Arabidopsis thaliana: one gene and its partners. The protein of the gene in region 1 interacts with the protein of each later gene in a pairwise test. Each region holds a gene or a part of one and is shown in the gene's direction. Other genes may lie near its edges. The genes, in order: SKP1, CUL1, FKF1 and AT5G45360.

Region 1 (3,850 bases):
TTCTGATAAGACTCAGTATCTTTAAGAAGATACTTGAATTTGGTAGGTGAGAATCATCATCCTATCCTCCATCCACGGTTTTGTAGAGGGTAATATAATTTTTTCTATGGACAGTAAGAAGTGATAAAAATATAATATTATATAAAAATGTTATAATGCTTTTTTTGTATGACACATGTCCATTTTAAATTACAAAAAACCATGTAAATAAAGAATAAAATACGTTATAACTAAAAAAACTGAATGCATTTCAAAAAAGTTACCATATAATCATATAAGTAAGCATATAAATCATACACCTTATCTTGATGTATATGATTAGTTATAACTAGAAAAGAAAACAAAACAAAGTTGAATATTATATCTAAGAATATATATTACCCATTAAGAAATAAATGAAAGAGAGAATAAAATCCACAGCATTATATAAATATTGTAGCCCTGGGAGTTCGGATATATCGGTTTAATCGGTTCGGTTTATTTAGTTTTTCGGGGTTTTTGGATTTTTTAATTTCTAGCCGAATTGAACCGAACAAAAATTCGGTTCGGGTCGGTTCGGACATCGGTTTTTTCGGTTCGGTTATTGGGTATAAATTAAATTCCGGATTAAACCGATTTTTTTTCTAATTCGGTTAATTTGAACCAAATAAACCACAAATTAAAAAAATGGACTTACAAAAATGAAATCTAATAAAAAACAAACAACAGGCCCAATACACAAATATACAGTTACAATTACAAATCCACAACACAATTATGGGTCAGGTCCATTACAAAATTAGGGTTTTGAGTTTTGACAAAAAAAATATGTACGACTACAACTCCAAACTGCGACGTCGAGCAGTGCCTCTCCAATCTAGTGATCTACCATTCCGACGACGTAATGCCCTACGAGACCTGTTAAACGCCCGTTTGTTATCCATGAAGTAAGAAAAAACATGAGATGGAAGTGTAAACCATAAAAGATCCATAAAAATAATGGATAATCTCAGATTTGGAAGTGTAAAGCCTAACTCTAAAATTTCAGAAATTATAGAGACAGAGGAAGAGCTTAGAGAGCAAAGAATCAAACAAAACAAATGATTAAAGAGAAATAAGAAGAGTTTACCCTAAGAAAGTTGAGGTTGTGGGTTGAATCTCTGAGCAAAGGTTTTTTGTAAGACCAACTGAGATTAGAGAGAATGAAAGAGGCTTGGAAGATGATGAATTCATGAAGGAGAAGAGACGAGTTGATGATTACTAATTCAATCGAAGAAAAATATCAAAGTTTCTTTGTTGTTTTCGCAAGAGGCAGAGAGCCAAAAACGAAGAAGAAACCTAATTAGGTTAAGACTCATCAATTAACCTTATATATGGCTGCAGATTCTCGGTATGGGTGAAACCGATTGGTTCCGATTACCGAACCGACCCGAACCGACTTCCGAATTCTTAAATTAATTTGGCCGATCGGTTCGATCTCCTTAATTCGGTTGCTGCCGAAAACCAAAATTTTCGTTTTTTTCGGTTCGGTTTTCTCGGGTTGAACCGTTATCCCAGGCCTAAAATATTGTATGACTCTTGACCAAAAACTAGTTAGATATATTATTTATTATGACATATTAATATTAACTTAATATAAAATAAAAATAAATGTTCAAAAAACATGATCTTAAAGCTGACAAAGCTGATTTGATTGACTAATACTTATCCTACGGTGATTTTTGGTTCTTTTACTTTTTTTGACAATTATGGAGCTGGATGGAAAAAAAATATATATAAAATCATATATTATTAATAATGAGATAAATACAACGAATTAAACGGATCAAAGTTAATATTTCCAAAAGAAAAATAGAACAGAGTCCTAATTTCATTAATTTCAACTATTGAAAACAAAATTTAAAATCAATAGGATTGATTTCTATTTTTCTTTTAGAAAAACAAAATTTGAAACAATTTCCTAATTTCCCTAAACTTGCGACTTTTTAACAATCGACCGACTTATCAAAATTAGGGATTGTTTTATATATAAAGAGAGACGCATCTCTTTATTTCATTCATCGCTTCTCCAAAATTTTCTTCAAAGAACAAATCTCCCAAATCTAAAATCTTTCTCTTCTCTCTTCGTTTCCATAACCATGTCTGCGAAGAAGATTGTGTTGAAGAGTTCCGATGGTGAATCTTTCGAGGTTGAGGAGGCGGTGGCTCTCGAGTCACAAACCATAGCGCATATGGTTGAAGACGACTGCGTCGACAACGGAGTCCCTCTTCCTAACGTCACGAGCAAGATCCTCGCCAAGGTGATCGAGTATTGCAAGAGGCACGTCGAGGCTGCTGCCTCTAAGGCCGAGGCCGTCGAGGGTGCTGCTACCTCCGATGACGATCTTAAGGCCTGGGACGCTGATTTTATGAAGATCGATCAAGCTACTCTCTTTGAACTCATTCTGGTATGTTTCTTCTCTCGATCTGATTTGATTTTTCCATCGAATTTTGAATTTTGGGATTCTAGGGTTTTCGATTTGGGAAAATTAGGGTTTCGAAATTTAGGTGTTTGTTTCAGAAATTGAATCTGCTTGAGATTGATATTGTTAGGGTTCTTATGGAACCAATCATTAATTGAATCTATCGATTTGGATTATAATCATATCTGTGTTTTTGGATTCGGATTTTGATCTAATGGTTATGAATTTGGGATCTTGTGCAGGCTGCTAATTACCTGAATATCAAGAACTTGCTTGATCTAACATGTCAGACAGTTGCGGATATGATCAAAGGAAAGACTCCAGAAGAGATCCGCACAACGTTCAACATTAAGAACGACTTCACACCAGAGGAAGAGGAAGAGGTTCGCAGAGAGAACCAATGGGCTTTTGAATGATTGATCTTCAGAGAGAAGAATCAAAAGCAGCAAGCAACCAGTTTCTTCTTCCTTATGTTTATTGCCGTTTTCAAGTGTTGTTGATGACTTGCTTTTTAATATTCTTCATGAATCATGACTATCTTCTTCCTCTTCTTTCTTTCTTATCAAGAACCAATGTTTCTTACTCTTTGTGGGATGGATAATTTGTGCTTTTAGATAATCTTCAAGAGTGATGTTGGTTTGTCTTACAAAATAACTTCTTTCAATTGTCTTGCCAATCGCCACAGAATGCTAATTTGCACGATTCATTTTAGGAATGTTCATGTGTAAATAAAAAGAAACTGAATTTGGCAGAGTCTGCAAGCAGAATGTGAAGGATCATGACGACTACTCATTGAAACCAATGGTCACCAGTTATGCCCTGCTCCTGCTCATCTACTTACATAAATATCTGCATCACGTATTTGTATCTTGTCAACATCTTCTCAAATACTAACATAATCAGCATCACCCATTCGTCAACATTCGATAACATGTGGGCTTTGTTTGCATATAAGAAAACAAAGTTTCCACTCAACCGAACGTGGATCACATGTACATCAATATAATTACTTTAATTGTTTGTCTGGCTAGTCAAGTGGTCTCTCGTCTCGTCATTGTGTATCTTATCTTTACTATGAGACTGAAAGAGATATCTTCTTTATATACAGTAACACTCACATTGTGGTCACTCGAAAAGAGCTAAAGAAAATGGAAGATTTGAAGCCAAGTGCCGCTAACTCGTTACCATTGACACTGTTAGGCTTTCTTGAGAGAGCAGCCACCGTGTATGGAGACTGTACCTCCATCGTTTACGGCAATTCCACCGTGTACACATGGCGAGAAACGAATCACCGTTGCCTCTGCGTCGCGTCTGCTCTGTCTTCCATTGGAATAGGAAGATCCGACGTTGTCTCTGTCCTATCTGCTAATACTCCGGAAATGTACGAGCTCCAGTTTTCCGTTCCGATG
Region 2 (7,503 bases), on another chromosome or scaffold:
TAAGACACTTGTTTGCTCTTCACTAGCAGCTTGACTTAACCATGTTGTAAGTATCAAAACCCCTCCTTTTGATAAAAACCTGTGGCACATATAGAAAATGACTGTCAAGACGGGAATATAATAACAATAAAATAAAATAAGACAGTGGGTGAAAGAGAACCCCCAACTAGTACCAGATCAGCACAGAAGCATCTTGTATCTGCATGATCCACTCCATTAGTTTCACCTGGCCTGAAAATGTTTCCTCTTTACGCAGCAGAGAAAATATATTCTCAACAAAGTATTTGTCTGAATCGCTGATGTCAGGTGGAATATCTTCAGGTGGAATAAGTGCCACTGTTTCACCTTCACCCCAGCTTATAGAACATGCCTCCGGATGTATAGAGTTCAAGGGAACGGGTTCAACATGATTTGTGGCATTGTTATTTTCCGGAACACCATCATCTTGTAAAGCATGCGTATTGGACATAACTACTTTCTCCCTTGAAAGCCTCACCTGTTTCCTCACTCTTGTCTTTTGAGTAACAAAAAATTCTCGAACCTGCCATTGAAGAAAATAATAAAGAGACAAACCAAAGTCTCATGAGTACCTCAACATGACAGATCTAAACTGACATGGAATTCTAAAAGCATGGCAAAAAAGAGTACATATCATGTAGAAGAACAATACCTGGGCGACTGTGATGCCAAATAAAGCACTTATCTCCCGAGATTCCCTCTTACTAATAGCATCTTTAATTGCGAAAACTGCTTGTAGATACTTAACAGCCTTAGGATTCAACAAGTCTCTTGGCCGCTTTCCTGAAATATTTACAAATTCATCAGATACTAGGCATCGAGCACGTAAAAGTTGGGTATGCCTTTAATGAACCTAGAGAGCAACAATGAATTGAAACATTCTCTGTGATATACGTAATTATGCCAAAAGATCTCACGAATCCTAAGATGACTCACCAATTTTAATGGACAAAGCACCAGCAGCCTGAAACAACAAAAAAATTAAACAGATTAATGTCTTTAACAGAGATGATTACTTGATCAGAGAAATGACATATAAACAGTTGAAGCATCACCATTACAGTTCACAGAAGAAACGGAGAGGTCGAGCTATATGAATTTATACCAAAAACACCTCTAATTTTTGCTAGACTCAATACCCTTCAAAGAATTTATTCCAAAATCCGAATGACCTGTCCCTCTCAGCTTTGCCCATATCACCATACCCCAATAAAACACGAACTTTAGATACCAAAAAACATAGAAACAATAACCCACCATTTCTTGCGCAAGGGGATTAACGCCGGTAAGTTTGCATTGCGCAACGACGACATCTTGGAGCTGATCGATCTGGCTATGAAAAAGCACCTTCTGCGAATCCAATAGCTCCATTAAAGACTCCACCGAGCTCCCGATTTCTATCTCCTCCTTGAACGCGTCCATGGCCGCCGACGGAAAACTCGAAGACCAATACGCAAACCGAATTCAAAATGTGCATCAGGGAATTAAACTGAAACGTAGGACTCAGTGATTCGAATGTGTTGAAACGATAAATTCAATGAACATGGTTACCTAATTTCGGATTGTCAAAAAGCCGATTCGGGTTAGGGTTTGAGTAAGGAAGGCAAAATAAAGGGGCATAAAAGTAAATAAGTTACTTTACAAAGAAAAATTATAAAACGCAGCGTCTTGATGTAGATCTCTGAAAAGGTAAGAAATTAAATTTGTTTAATATTATACTAATATATTAGTTGACATAAAATAAAAATAATTAAATCTATAAGACCTGAAAATAATAGAATAGAAGAGAACGAGTTTGTTTCCTGAGATATCTTTTCACCGCCCTTCTCATAGGTCTCGTCTCTCTTTCTCTCTATTTTACGCTTTTTTCCTGAACGATTCTTAGGGTTTTGATTCTCTCTCTCTCTCGCTTCTTTTTCGATCGCAGCAGCTCTCGCCGATCCTGTGTAATCGGGAATCGGTAATCGTCAGGGTCTGTTTGGGGTACGGCGACGCGATTTTCTGATTATTAGGGTTTAAGATCTCGAGGTATCACTATTTCTGTCGGATTCTCGCTTGTTTTGTTCCATACGACAGTTGATTTTTTTATCATTCTGTTGATTGTTCGTCTTTCTAGGTTTTTATTTGAATTTTTGTGGGATCGAGATTGTTAGGGTTACGTCGGAGTCTCTGGATTGCGTTTCTACTGTGTAATTTCGTGTTTATCTCATGGATTGATTGTTTCTCGAGTATATTCTGATGCTTATGTCCTCGTTTGCGCACAATCTGATAGTTTGGGTTTGATTTGGGTGATAATACTCGTTTCGCATTCGATAATGTGGGTGTTAACGTGTTATTATAACCTCTGAAGAATGATAAATATTGTTGACTCTCTCGCTTCAGTCATTTCATTGTGTTGCTTAATACTGCTGTTCTAAATTTTGGTTTTCTCCTTGTTCTTTGGTTAACTTAGGTTGAGGAGAGCTTGAAAAGTTGTTTGTCAACATGGAGCGCAAGACTATTGACTTGGAGCAAGGATGGGACTATATGCAGACTGGAATTACTAAGCTGAAACGGATTCTGGAAGGATTGAATGAGCCAGCATTTGACTCTGAGCAATATATGATGCTTTATACGTAGGTTTTATACTTGTTTATTACCTTATATAGCGGTTTGGCTGTTTGTCCTGATACTTATGATGGGGAATTTATTTGATTCTCAGGACTATCTACAACATGTGCACCCAGAAACCTCCTCATGATTACTCACAGCAGCTTTATGACAAGTATCGGGAAGCATTTGAGGAATATATTAACTCAACAGTGAGTCTGATTGATATTTAGTTTCTTTCTTATAAACTTCTCGTTTTTACTACCTCTGAATTTTAAGATGCCACTTTTGTGCATGGTTTCATATGTCAAGAAGTCCTGTCCCCTCTTGGTTTTAAGTTGATTCAAACGGTTTTGAATGTTTGCTCTCTTGTTGTCTGTGGTTAGGTTTTGCCTGCGTTGAGGGAGAAGCATGATGAGTTTATGCTGCGGGAGCTATTTAAAAGATGGTCAAACCATAAAGTAATGGTCAGATGGCTATCCCGCTTCTTCTACTACCTTGACCGTTACTTCATTGCTCGGAGATCACTTCCACCACTGAATGAAGTTGGCCTGACATGCTTCCGTGACCTGGTATGGCATTCATTCCTGTGGCTTTATAGCTTTCAGTTGTATTGAAATATTTTTAACTTTTCCTTGATTCTGTTCGCTTCAGGTTTATAATGAGCTACATTCTAAGGTCAAACAAGCTGTAATAGCTCTTGTAAGTATGGCGTCAATATTGTTGTGCAGTTACATCCAACTCTGGCTTTTGCCTGATTCAAGGTCTAACATGACCTGTTCTTCTGTCAGGTTGATAAAGAACGGGAGGGCGAGCAGATTGATAGGGCCCTGCTGAAAAACGTATTAGATATCTATGTAGAGATTGGAATGGGGCAGATGGAGAGGTATGAAGAAGATTTTGAAAGCTTCATGCTTCAAGATACTTCTTCGTATTATTCTCGCAAGGCATCAAGCTGGATTCAGGAAGATTCTTGCCCTGATTACATGTTGAAGGCATGACTCGTGATATCATTTTCTAAAATTTGTTTTTATTTCACAATAGTTGAAATTATTTATTAACTTCTGTGCTTTCATGTTACAGTCTGAAGAATGTCTAAAGAAGGAGAGGGAGAGAGTGGCTCACTACCTACACTCAAGCAGTGAGCCAAAGCTGGTTGAGGTTGGTTATTATGCACTATGTAATTATGCCTGTACTTGTAGGTTTGATGAAGAAACCATAGATCTTGCATAAGCCTTGATTTTGAATTTTGTTATTTGTATTGAGATACTTTCCAGACTCTTTTTAAATGCGTAGTCCAGGCATACTTGATTTTAAAGATTGATATCTGTTTGACTTGTATAGTAATCTTTTGTATGCAGAAAGTACAACATGAATTGCTGGTTGTGTTTGCAAGTCAGCTTCTAGAAAAAGAACACTCAGGGTGCCGTGCATTGCTAAGAGATGACAAGGTAGAGCAAGTATTTTTGTTTTTATTGTTGAGTAGTTAGTGACTTAATTATTTCTTTAATGGTTATATTTGTCTACTTTCAGGTGGATGATCTCTCCAGGATGTACAGGCTTTACCATAAAATTTTGCGAGGCTTGGAACCTGTTGCAAACATCTTTAAGCAGGTTTATTACCTATCTTCATTCTTTTGTTTATGATTAGCAAATGGATAGTCTTTTCTTCATGGTCTACTTGCAGTCTCTTAATTACTGTATGACATTAACTGTAACTTGTTATTCGTTCACAGCATGTCACAGCAGAGGGTAACGCTCTTGTCCAACAGGCCGAAGACACGGCTACTAATCAGGTTCATATTATCTTACTTGTTATATTCGGATAACTCTTCTTTCTTCGTTTGTGATTGCTAAGATCGTTTTTATTCCACAGGTTGCAAATACTGCTAGCGTCCAGGAACAGGTAAAATTATAAACCGATTGTAGTAAAGATATATTGGAAATTAGAGATTCATTTTTTTTGGGGATAAAATTGCTAACGATTCACTGTCCTTTCATTATTTCCAGGTTCTTATCAGAAAAGTGATTGAACTTCATGATAAATACATGGTATATGTCACCGAGTGTTTCCAGAACCACACCCTCTTCCATAAGGTCTAATGTTCTTTCTGCGCACTTGTCATTTGTCTATCTTATTCATGTTTATGTTGTGTTACTAACCTAAGTTTATGGAAACATATTTTAGGCTTTGAAAGAGGCATTTGAGATTTTTTGTAACAAAACGGTTGCTGGAAGTTCAAGTGCAGAACTACTTGCAACATTTTGCGACAATATTCTCAAAAAGGGGGGAAGTGAAAAGCTGAGTGATGAAGCTATCGAAGATACGCTTGAGAAGGTACTTTTGTCAAACTGTTTTTTCTTTTTCAAGTCTCCAAAGAGTGGTCCTGAATTTTATAATGTTGTTACAGGTTGTCAAATTGCTTGCATACATAAGTGACAAGGATCTTTTCGCTGAGTTCTACAGGTTTATCTCCAACTTCAATCTTTCTTTATCTGTGGATCGACTCTTTTTGCTTCTACTCTTTGTTTTTCTTGTAATGTTTTGTTTTTACTAGCTTTTTGTGGAGATGCCTTGCAACAATATACAATTTGATTGACATAAGTTGGATTACTGAGTTGCAAGCCATTTTGTTTATGGTTTTGATTGCAGGAAGAAGCTGGCCCGTAGGCTCTTATTTGATCGCAGTGCTAATGATGATCATGAGAGAAGTATCCTGACAAAGCTCAAGCAACAATGTGGTGGACAGTTTACTTCTAAGATGGAGGGCATGGTTAGTTTGAGTGTCCCTGTGTTTCTTATTTTAAAGCGGTGCGTGCTCTGATGACTTATGTTTTCTATATAATTTTAATCCGCTGGTGACAGGTGACGGATTTGACACTGGCAAGAGAAAACCAAAACAGTTTCGAGGATTATCTAGGCAGTAACCCTGCTGCAAACCCAGGGATTGACTTGACCGTCACTGTTCTTACCACTGGTTTCTGGCCAAGTTACAAATCATTTGACATAAATCTACCCAGTGAAATGGTAAAAACTCTATTGATTTTCTTACATACCTGAAAAGGAGATTGTTTGCTTCTGATAGATCTAATTCGTTGATTCTTTGTTTCAGATCAAGTGTGTTGAAGTCTTCAAAGGGTTTTATGAAACGAAAACGAAACACAGGAAGCTTACGTGGATCTATTCACTGGGAACTTGTCACATAAACGGGAAGTTTGATCAAAAGGCCATCGAGTTAATAGTGTCTACTTACCAGGTACTGTATGTTTCTCAGAAAATACTGATATATATTTTCTATCTGTAAACGGACTCTGATGCCACGTTCTCTGTCTCTATAGGCTGCTGTGCTTCTACTCTTTAACACAACTGACAAGTTAAGTTACACTGAGATCTTGGCTCAACTGAACCTAAGCCATGAAGATCTAGTTAGGTTGCTTCATTCCTTGTCATGTGCTAAGTACAAGATACTCCTTAAGGAGCCAAACACCAAGACTGTCTCCCAGAATGATGCCTTTGAGTTCAACTCCAAATTCACCGATAGAATGCGCAGAATCAAGGTTTGTGACGTTAATAGTAATACTCAAAAGTCTGCAAGTTTATGTCATGTTTTACATATTGTTAATAACTAACATCAACTTGGGTGATTTGCGTCACAGATCCCTCTTCCCCCAGTTGATGAAAGGAAGAAAGTCGTTGAAGATGTCGATAAAGACAGAAGATATGCAATTGATGCTGCCATTGTCAGGATCATGAAGAGCAGGAAAGTATTGGGACATCAACAACTTGTTTCTGAGTGTGTTGAGCAACTTAGCCGAATGTTCAAGGTAAATTATACATATAATTATATTTATACAGAGACATTTGAAGATGCACGTGGTGATGAAACTCATTGGATTTGTGATGTTTGTTGCAGCCTGATATCAAAGCGATCAAGAAGCGTATGGAGGATTTAATAACCAGAGATTATTTGGAGAGGGACAAGGAGAATCCTAACATGTTTAGGTACTTGGCTTAGGGCAAAAAAACAACAACTATGGAAGTGGTTGGCTCATGAAAGGAATCTGCTTGTATATTTAGAAGTCCATATGGAGACTGTCCTAAAACAAATTTATCGCTTCATTTTCGCTATTTTTCTCTTTTAAAAAATATTCGGTCTGTGCTTTTTTTTTGGGATGCAAATTTGCCTTGTGGATTTTTGTTTCTTAAATATTGAATGGAGATGGAGAAATGGCCTTAATGAATGAATCTCTGCTTTCTAATATATTTATCCTTGATCATATTATTTAAGTTTTATGTATCTCTGTGTTATATTGACGGATGGGAAAGTCGTAACAAATAATATGAGATTTCTTATAATCGAACGCTAATGAGACAAAGATGAACCGACGGAAGGTGCCTTCCTCAATCGCCGAACATTAAAAATCATTGTAATCATCTACGTCATTAGCTATAGTCCACCAGAACCGTAATAGTTTCTGCTTAGGACCAATGTCTTATATTTTAAGCCGTTTTTCTGTTGTATGATGATCTGAAATATTATTGGGATACAAAGACGGGTATGTTAAGGTTAATAACAATTTTGAACGGGTTAATGGTGGAGCTGGTGGATTATATTACTTGATTCCAATGTGCTTTTTTCTTTCTTTTTTGGGTTAATATGAATTATGAACGGATCATCAAAGACGATATTTGGAGCCTACACAGAGAATGATATATACGACATGGAGAAATTCTGTTCATATATGTTTTGAGGTGCGGAGTCATTTTACTCCATCGAGCAAATGTTTCTCACTTTTTATTTGCTTGAGATTCTGTTAAACAAACAAAGAATCATGCCATTGCACTATGATGAAAAAGCTGCGAGGAGATGTGCAAATTATAAGAATCAGCAAATT
Region 3 (4,684 bases), 3.0 Mb from region 1:
TATTTTTGTGATAACATTATAAATATATATTAACATGTGGAACCCTAATTCTCATTAAACTGCTCACGTTAAAGCACATGCAGTACACCAACCATTTAAATTGTTTTGCTTAGCACGATTTTGTTTCATTCATGATTCAAAACTTCAATTTTTCTTCGTCTGTTTTTATATAAATATTCGAAACATTTATAGAATTTTTTTGTTTTTAATTTGTAATTTGGATGTGGTCAAAAATCATACTTGGATCTATATTGATGTTATACATTTCACGACTTCAAAAGAAACTATTGCTCGCTCTATTTCTGTCATTAATTAACTCATAACTTAACTTACACAAAAATTGAGATGATGACAATCATGAAACTATTTAAAAAGAAAAAGACCAGACCGGCCAATGTTAGACTAGGATTAGTGGCTATTATTCTAGTGACAGGGGTGCGATGAGTACCATTGTTTTTGAACATGTCTCTTTGTCTTCGCGATGAACCAAGCGGTCCCAAAAGTATTGGCAATAGATAGAGCCTCAATACCTTTAATTAATTATAAATTTCCCTGAATTTATATTCTCCAAAAATGAATGTTATTTTTTTCATCAATCAAAAAAAGTTGTTGGGTTTTAGTCCACCAAAAAGATGTTTGAGTTTCGATTGTTTGTGTTCAAAAAATCAAATTACATAACAAAAGCCAGAACTTTTTTTTATATCAAAAAGTAAAGAAAAAATAAGAAAAACAAAAAATCATAACTTTTTTTATTGAGGTGATAAGGAATGTAATTTATTGACGTCTTGTGAACCCGATATAAATCTAAAACTTGAAGTAGCTAATGAAACATAACAGGAAATGTTGGAGTGGTATAGAAATTACCTTTAATTTACCTTTAATTGTATAGAAATTAAAGATAAAATAAAAAGATAAATCTATGAAACAATTATTTTGTCTATATACCAAAAGGGTTAGTTTTCTTGTGTTTAGTTTTTTGGAATGGAAATATATTATTTAAATTGGAATATTTTTTTGGTTGAACACAATTGGAATATGTAAAGGTTGATTTCATGTACTTGAAAGATTATGGTCAGAAGCCTTCTCACACGGTTAAGAAAAATAAAAAAAATATGTTGTCTATTTATTTGGTTCAAATTAAGTTTTTGTGTGGGCTTTGTGGGCTAGCTATTTAGTATGGGCCTAGATCTGGACTTCTGTAAATCTTAGGACTACACTTAACTCTATTACTCTCATAGTATGCCACTATGTGGGGTCTATGGCCACTATTGCTATCAATTATTACATATTTACATTACTTACGTACATTTTCGTATTTCTAATGTAATTTTTTTGTTTAGAAACTTATATAAGTGGGAAGTTTTAGAGCTAAATCTGAATTTTCTCAACTGGGGAGAAAAACTCCCTTGTCTCATCATCCCATTCCACTCACCACGAAAACTCAATTTGTTACATTAACATTATGTGTAACCTTTTCGAGAATCGCGTTTCACAAAAATATCTATTATTTGACCAGAGTCAACGGTTACGTGAATCTGATTCCAATTGCGTTCCAACTTCCAAGTTCCAACACTTCACAAACAAAAACAAATATCTTCCCTCAAATCTCAATCTTCAAAAAAAAAACAAATATCTTTCACAAAATATGATGACGTGGAAGAAGCGAGTGGTTGAGTAGGCTAGATATTTTCTCGGAATATCCCCTGGTGACGTGTTACAATCGAACAAGAGTAGACTTACTTTTTTTAAACATACCCCTGATATATCCTTTTAATTACGAAAATTGCCACCAACTCCTGGCGCGAAGACTTCTTGCCTCGTCTTAAATATAAAGGGTATATTCGTCAATAAGTCACCAACTAAGCCAAGATATTTTAAAAGTTTAAACAGACACAAAAAGAAATAAAATATCATAAGGCTGAGAGCTTATCAGAGAAGAAGAAGATATTTCTGTAAGCGAGAAAAATGGCGAGAGAACATGCGATCGGAGAAGCCACCGGAAAACGAAAGAAACGCGGCAGAGTTGAAGAAGCAGAAGAATACTGTAACGATGGAATCGAAGAACAAGTAGAGGATGAGAAGCTTCCGTTAGAGGTTGGGATGTTCTATTACCCAATGACTCCGCCTTCGTTCATTGTTTCCGATGCTCTGGAGCCAGATTTTCCTTTGATCTATGTCAACAGAGTCTTCGAAGTCTTCACTGGCTATCGTGCCGATGAAGTTCTTGGTCGTAACTGGTATATTAATTTCTCCGATTTCCCCCTTTTTGAATTGGAGTGTGTTGTTATCAATTCTCTTGAATAATGCTGCATTTGTGGTTGAATCTGCTTGGTTTCAGTCGATTCCTACAGTACAGAGATCCTCGAGCTCAAAGGCGTCACCCATTGGTTGATCCTGTGGTTGTATCTGAGATTAGGAGATGTCTTGAAGAAGGTATTGAATTCCAAGGAGAGCTTCTTAATTTCAGAAAAGATGGTACTCCTTTGGTTAACAGACTACGGCTTGCTCCAATACGTGACGATGATGGAACCATTACACACGTAATTGGGATACAGGTCTTCTCTGAAACGACTATAGACCTTGACCGTGTCTCGTATCCTGTGTTCAAACATAAACAACAGCTTGATCAAACATCTGAGTGCTTGTTTCCAAGTGGAAGCCCGAGGTTTAAGGAGCATCATGAAGATTTCTGTGGGATATTGCAGCTATCTGATGAAGTTTTGGCTCATAACATCTTATCTCGGTTAACTCCAAGGGACGTTGCTTCAATTGGTTCTGCTTGCAGGAGGTTGAGGCAGTTGACGAAGAACGAGAGTGTGAGGAAGATGGTATGTCAGAATGCGTGGGGAAAAGAGATAACTGGAACACTGGAGATTATGACTAAGAAGCTAAGATGGGGTCGGTTAGCTAGAGAGCTCACCACTCTTGAAGCTGTGTGTTGGCGTAAATTTACTGTTGGAGGGATTGTACAACCTTCCCGCTGCAATTTCAGCGCGTGTGCTGTTGGGAACCGGCTTGTGCTATTTGGTGGGGAAGGGGTTAACATGCAGCCATTGGATGATACTTTTGTTCTCAATCTTGATGCAGAGTGTCCTGAGTGGCAGCGTGTGAGGGTGACGTCGTCGCCTCCAGGACGTTGGGGACACACACTCTCGTGTCTCAACGGGTCGTGGTTGGTAGTCTTTGGAGGGTGTGGAAGACAAGGATTGCTTAATGATGTATTTGTGCTTGATCTAGACGCTAAGCATCCCACATGGAAGGAAGTAGCAGGAGGAACTCCTCCATTGCCAAGATCTTGGCACAGCTCGTGCACCATTGAGGGCTCTAAACTGGTTGTCTCAGGTGGCTGCACAGACGCTGGAGTGCTTCTCAGCGACACCTTCTTGTTGGATCTGACAACAGATAAACCGACATGGAAAGAGATCCCGACATCATGGGCTCCTCCTTCTAGACTTGGGCATTCTTTATCGGTCTTTGGTCGGACTAAAATCCTAATGTTTGGCGGGCTTGCAAATAGTGGTCATCTAAAGCTAAGGTCAGGGGAGGCATACACTATAGACTTGGAGGATGAAGAACCAAGATGGAGAGAGCTTGAGTGTAGCGCATTCCCAGGCGTGGTTGTACCGCCTCCAAGACTAGACCATGTGGCTGTGAGCATGCCGTGTGGTAGGGTCATCATCTTTGGAGGGTCGATTGCAGGGCTTCACTCTCCTTCGCAACTGTTTCTAATAGATCCTGCAGAAGAGAAACCGTCATGGAGGATCCTGAATGTCCCCGGGAAACCGCCTAAGTTAGCTTGGGGACATAGCACATGCGTTGTTGGAGGAACTAGAGTATTGGTCCTTGGTGGTCACACTGGTGAGGAATGGATACTCAATGAATTACATGAACTCTGCTTGGCTAGCCGGCAAGACTCGGATCTGTAAAGACTCTTTCCTTCTTCATTTGGTTTGTGGTTTTGTATCTGTCACATTCCAAACTCTTACGACATGTAGAAGAGATATATCAGAAGCTAGAAGCGTGTGTACATAGTAAATTAGTGATTGTTGTACGCTTTAGATAGATATTCATGTAATGTTAATGGTTTTGCTGTATGAAGATCCTTCTATAATATACTTCTCCTTGTTACTCGACCATGCAGGATTTGATTTTTGACGTACCATCCAAAAGAGAGAAGACACTGAGTTTGGACATATATATATATATCCACAAACCCAAAAGTAGAAATAATCACACAACACCTCAAGTAAATAGAATGAAGAAACCGAAAAAGTAAAGTACACAAACTTCAATACAGAGCTAAAACCTATACAGCCAAACAAACTACTTCCATAGGACAGAAAATGTTATGCGAAAATGTCAAACATCTCTCCCTCCACCCTTTTTTCTTGTCGTCATCGCTAAGCAGTGTAAGCCGATCTAAGTCAGAAAGCATACTTATCTTTTTCATCCTTAAGTTCTATGGTAATTCAATAAATCACAGAGGATGTAAAGGAAAGCAAGAGAAATAAAAAAGAGATATAAAGGTTAAAAAGAGCTTAAAAATCACACCAGCCTATAACGGTTTTACTTGTTTAAACTGATACGACCACAAGAACTAGTCACATCTCCTCCCTCATCTCATTGTGTACTCCTTGTTAACCCACTTCGGCCAGCAGCTCTGCAGAATATCGAACACCAAGCT
Region 4 (4,441 bases), on another chromosome or scaffold:
AGAAGAGAAGGAACACCTGTTGACTAAAGAAATTGAGATCCTTTGATTTGCTCTGTAAATTGTAATTCTAACTTCTCTGTTTTTTCGTTCCAAAAAAAAAAAAAACTTCTCTGGTCATTGTAGTCGTTGGTCTTCTTCAATTTGTTAACTATGATTTTTTGTTAAGTTGAGGCAAAAAAAAATTTGCCAGATTATTTTCTTAAATCTTATACACATTGAAGCCTAACAGATTAACACATTTGTTAAATATGCTCATATATCCTACTTAAAAAATATGAAAATTTTCCACAAAAAATGGTGTAATATAAAAATTCGGTTTACTCGGGTTAAACGGTTCGGTTTGTTCGGTTTTCCGGGTTTTTCGGTTTTCAAAAATTCTGCCGAATTGAACCGAACAAAAATTCGGTTCGGTTCGGTTCGGTACTCGGTTTTTTCGGTTCGGTTACTAGGATTTATAATTCGCCGAAATTAAACCGAATTTTTTTTAATCGGTTAACCTAATCAGTTTAGATCACAATATTAGGCATAGTGGGCTGTTTTTAAAGCCCATATCGGCTTTTGACATTTAAAAACCCAAAACTTTTTTTTTGAGGGACAAGTAAAGTCAAAAAGCCCATGACGGTTTTTAACTTTTCAAAACCCAAATTCTTTTTTTCCAGGGACAAGAAAAGCCCATCACACCCATCTAGGGTTTTGTTTTGTTTTATTTTTTGGAAATGACGGCCGTCAAAGAAAAACAAGGGTGAGATGAAGAAGAAGAACATTGAAAACAGAGAAAATAGATTTGTATTGTGCGGTGGTGAGAAAAGATGTAGAGAACCATGAAATCATTGCCAGAGAAGATCGATGTCGCGGTGGCTTAATAGAATATTTCTGCGAACCTAAAAGGTGGAGAAGAAGAACGAAGACAAGGAGAAGAAGGAGGAATAAGGAAGAATTAGAAGGTTAAAAGATAAAAATGGGTTAGAGATGAGGAGAAATAAAGGTGTTCGTGAAGAGGAGAGTTTAGAAAACAAAGAAGATGAAGTGATAGATCTAGGATTTTTCTGTTTTAAAAGGTATCTCCCCAATCCGAACAAAACCGATCGGTTTTGATGAACCGAACCGAAAAACCCGAAAACCGAAATCAATTTAAAATTCTACCGAACGATTTACAACAGAAAATCGGTTTGAAACCGAAAACCGAAATCGTCGGTTTGTTCGGTTCGGTTTAAACGGGTTATGCCGAACTTCCAGGCCTAATTTTTACAGTGTAATACTGAAGTTGGTAAAATATGCCTTTATTTATGTCGATTAGTGGATCTAGTAATATAACATTTCCTTAAATGAAAAAACTCCTTAAAAAGTAGTTGCTGATCCAATAACAAATGTTCTGTTTTAAGAAAATTTAATTATAGTAGTAGTTCGAACGTCGTTAACTCGTAATAATAATTCAGAAAAATGTTGTTATTTAATCACGTTTAGAAAGCTAATTTGTATTAATGACGCTAACGACAAGGAGGAGGGTTAGTGTTATGGGCTTATTTATTAATATATGGCCCATTTAGGTTATTAGCCCATTTATCAAAATTATTCGGCCCGAGGTCGTCTCCAATCTCACGCCACCGATTCCAAACGCCAACCCTCTCGAGTCTTGTCTCTCTCCAATCCTTTCCTTGGCCGCATAAACGCAACCATCGTCGTCGGAGCTTTGATCTTCACCGACTGAAAAGTATGTCTGTTTCCGATGAGGAAGATGAGTGTTTCGCTCGATTCCTCGAATCAGAAGTCTCATCGGTATAAAAATTTCTCCGTTTATTCAAATTTTCGATTTCATTTAGGGTTTAGTAATTTCTTCTCCATCAATCTTTGAATTTTGTAGCTGAATCTGAAATTCTGTCGAGATTTTCCCGTTCCCCTAGTTTTTTTTTTCATTTTTGATAACTTCAGTTCCTTGATCTGTAAATTTGATCTTATATGCATACATTTGAAATTTTTGAAAAATCACATAATTTTTGTTCATGTTCTTCGATTGATGTCCATTGTGATTTTGCTCTTGTTCAGCGTTGTCCTGTGAAAGGTTAGATTATTTATTGATGCTTTGGTTTTTGTAGGTAGAGGATAAAGAAGAAACGAAAGAACCTGAGGCAAAACGGCAACGTATTGAGAAAGGCGAAACAAAGGCTCTAGAGAAGGATGAAGATCAAAAGGAAAATGGTAACAAAGATAAAACTGATGCAAAGAGAATAGAGAGTGGAGTTTTCACCAATGTTCCTACTGAGCTGTTTCGTCATATTCTCAAGTTCTTATCTTCGGAGGTATATACTATATAGTTCAAACTCGAACTTTATTGATGTTTGAGGATTGCTTTTAAACTAAATTGTTTGAATGTCATTACAGGATCTTGTATCATGCTCCTTGGTTTGTAAATTTCTCAATTTTGCTGCGGCTGATGAATCCTTATGGCGTCGCCTGTAAGCCTCTTCTTGTACCCCTTATTGTCGTTGATAATCTTGTTTTCAAAATCAATACTTTGTATTCAAAAACGATGTGATGATCTTATTGGTTGTTTTTTGTTTATATGCAGGTACTGTATCCGGTGGGGTCTAACTCTTCCAAGTAGAAAGTTACGTGAATCTGCTTGGAAGAAGCTTTATATTGATGTGAGTTTCTCCTTGGTTTTTCGTATAAACTTGTTAGATGTTTCCAAGTAGTATTACATTGCTGAAGAATATACAGTGTTAGTTTGCGTTGCTAGTAGAAGTCAGATCATATATATTTTTAAGTGATTCCTTTCTCTTGTCGAATTTTAGCGTGATGAACAGGACATGATTGAACTTGTCAGAACCTGTCCGTCGGATTTCAAGGAGTATTACGTACATATGCAAGCAGCAAAGAGAAGCCAAGCACCTCTTCCGTCCCAGGTAACTATTTATAATTATCTGTTTATGTTTTAGGACAAATCATCACGTGAAGAATTTTCTCATGTTCTTGTTTGCAATTTTTAGATGGTGGATGACCGGATAATTCTTGACAATACTGTACTTGAACAAGTTTCTCTATGGAAGAAAAGCAAAGGACTTACTGATAAGGCTGTCACTGGCCATATTTGTTTGGGAACCAAATGTTCATACCATCAGATTGACGACGTGTTCATATGCAAAGAGACGGGAAATGTTCATGGTATGTAATGAAATGCTGTAAAATGTAACTTTGTTACTGTGTTTTACTCTAAACTTACATAGTTTTTATGGTCTTTATAACAGTATGCGATGATAACTGCAAGGAAGTAATACTGAGTCCAGAGGGTGACCTCATGGTGTGTACTATCTCAGGAGTTTGTTCTGATACTTTACTTGTACAAACTGAGCCAGACGCAGATGGGTGTTATGAGGAAGAAGCTGAACTAGAAGCTGAAGTATTCACAGATAAAAGCCGATTAGGTACACATCTATCTATCTCTTTCTCATATCTCTCACACACTTCCTTTTCCAAATATTATTTTTATTTTCCAACATAAGTGAACTATTTGCGTCTTCTTTTCATCGCAGCCCGAGCTTTTGAACTTGGCTACAACTGCGATGATGAGCAGGAACTGGAACGTACCCTGAGGTTCTGCTGAGCAAAAGTCTCGACCTTTTGTCCAATTTCATAAGGCCTACTTTCTGTAAGGTCTTCTCTCTCTCTCTCTCTCTGACCTGATTCTGCCTGGGTTCTGTGGAGTTGAAATGAATCAAATGTAGCTCTTGTTTTAATCAGTCAGCTTTGTAACGTATACATATATATCATTGTATGTGATTAACATTGTCCTTAAAAAGTGTTACACCTAGTAATTACGTTCCAACTTTATCAGTAAACCTATTGGTAACTAGTAATTTGCTCCCGATATTGGTTTTCTCATTAATTTTTATAGCCATTCTTTGTTCATTTAAACCATATTACAAATTTGTCCTGGTTAGAACTGATTATGATGACAAATCGATGATTAGTTCAAAATGAAGTTTATAGCAATATATTCTAATAACTATACATCAATTATCACCACTGATGTGTTTGAATGAAAAATGAATTGATAATCTTAATAAATGTTTGATTTTATAGATAAGTATAAAGTATGAATGGATTTAGAAAATTTTAGTATTTAGTGAGATAAGCATAAGCAAAACTAGAAAAATGAAATTATTATTAAATAAATTCATTAATACACATTGGCAATGTGACATTGCCTAAAATCAAATATGTACTAATTCAATTAATGTTAATAAGAATTTTTTGGATTCGATTCTCTTGCGAAAGTGCAAATTAAAAGACATTCTTATCTCCTACGTAAACAGAATCACGCGTCCATTGCGCGTTCTCGCAACGCTAAAATATTTACGTTGGAAAATATTCTCATAATTCTCTCCTTTGCCCCCACAGTTTAATATATTTCATAAACACCCCCACGAGAAATTAAAAACCG

What was found.
Region 2: the proteins of SKP1 (region 1) and CUL1 interact in binary tests that used the Arabidopsis thaliana proteins (3 or more experiments, as listed by UniProt).
Region 3: the proteins of SKP1 (region 1) and FKF1 interact in a two-hybrid assay, tested with the Arabidopsis thaliana proteins (3 studies listed by BioGRID).
Region 4: the proteins of SKP1 (region 1) and AT5G45360 interact in a two-hybrid assay, tested with the Arabidopsis thaliana proteins (3 studies listed by BioGRID).

Annotation. Positions count from the first base shown.
Region 1 is NC_003070.9:28,514,598-28,518,447, forward strand, and holds SKP1 (S phase kinase-associated protein 1), read left to right. Parts: upstream 1-1,921; 5' UTR 1,922-2,117; coding exon 2,118-2,426; intron 2,427-2,683; coding exon 2,684-2,857; 3' UTR 2,858-3,299; downstream 3,300-3,850. Other genes in the region: AT1G75945 (uncharacterized protein), read right to left, coding at 816-897, 1,109-1,212; AT1G75960 (AMP-dependent synthetase and ligase family protein), read left to right, coding at 3,590-3,850. UniProt on the Arabidopsis thaliana protein: Involved in ubiquitination and subsequent proteasomal degradation of target proteins. Together with CUL1, RBX1 and a F-box protein, it forms a SCF E3 ubiquitin ligase complex. The functional specificity of this complex depends on the type of F-box protein.
Region 2 is NC_003075.7:1,126,813-1,134,315, forward strand, and holds CUL1 (cullin 1), read left to right. Parts: upstream 1-1,702; 5' UTR 1,703-1,851; exon of another isoform or gene 1,852-1,945; 5' UTR 1,946-2,001; exon of another isoform or gene 2,002-2,046; intron 2,047-2,470; 5' UTR 2,471-2,502; coding exon 2,503-2,633; intron 2,634-2,719; coding exon 2,720-2,819; intron 2,820-2,993; coding exon 2,994-3,179; intron 3,180-3,261; coding exon 3,262-3,309; intron 3,310-3,398; coding exon 3,399-3,602; intron 3,603-3,690; coding exon 3,691-3,768; intron 3,769-3,968; coding exon 3,969-4,058; intron 4,059-4,140; coding exon 4,141-4,221; intron 4,222-4,343; coding exon 4,344-4,403; intron 4,404-4,483; coding exon 4,484-4,513; intron 4,514-4,617; coding exon 4,618-4,704; intron 4,705-4,795; coding exon 4,796-4,945; intron 4,946-5,018; coding exon 5,019-5,074; intron 5,075-5,260; coding exon 5,261-5,381; intron 5,382-5,473; coding exon 5,474-5,635; intron 5,636-5,720; coding exon 5,721-5,864; intron 5,865-5,946; coding exon 5,947-6,165; and 6 more. Other genes in the region: LD (Homeodomain-like superfamily protein), read right to left, coding at 1-79, 174-541, 671-801, 955-982, 1,276-1,440.
Region 3 is NC_003070.9:25,506,772-25,511,455, forward strand, and holds FKF1 (flavin-binding, kelch repeat, f box 1), read left to right. Parts: upstream 1-1,867; 5' UTR 1,868-1,965; coding exon 1,966-2,237; intron 2,238-2,338; coding exon 2,339-3,926; 3' UTR 3,927-4,136; downstream 4,137-4,684. Other genes in the region: MAP70-1 (microtubule-associated proteins 70-1), read right to left, coding at 4,621-4,660. UniProt on the Arabidopsis thaliana protein: Component of an E3 ubiquitin ligase complex that plays a central role in blue light-dependent circadian cycles.
Region 4 is NC_003076.8:18,383,943-18,388,383, reverse strand, and holds AT5G45360 (F-box family protein), read left to right. Parts: upstream 1-1,512; 5' UTR 1,513-1,713; coding exon 1,714-1,776; intron 1,777-2,093; coding exon 2,094-2,297; intron 2,298-2,379; coding exon 2,380-2,453; intron 2,454-2,566; coding exon 2,567-2,642; intron 2,643-2,792; coding exon 2,793-2,903; intron 2,904-2,987; coding exon 2,988-3,162; intron 3,163-3,245; coding exon 3,246-3,422; intron 3,423-3,530; coding exon 3,531-3,601; 3' UTR 3,602-3,895; downstream 3,896-4,441.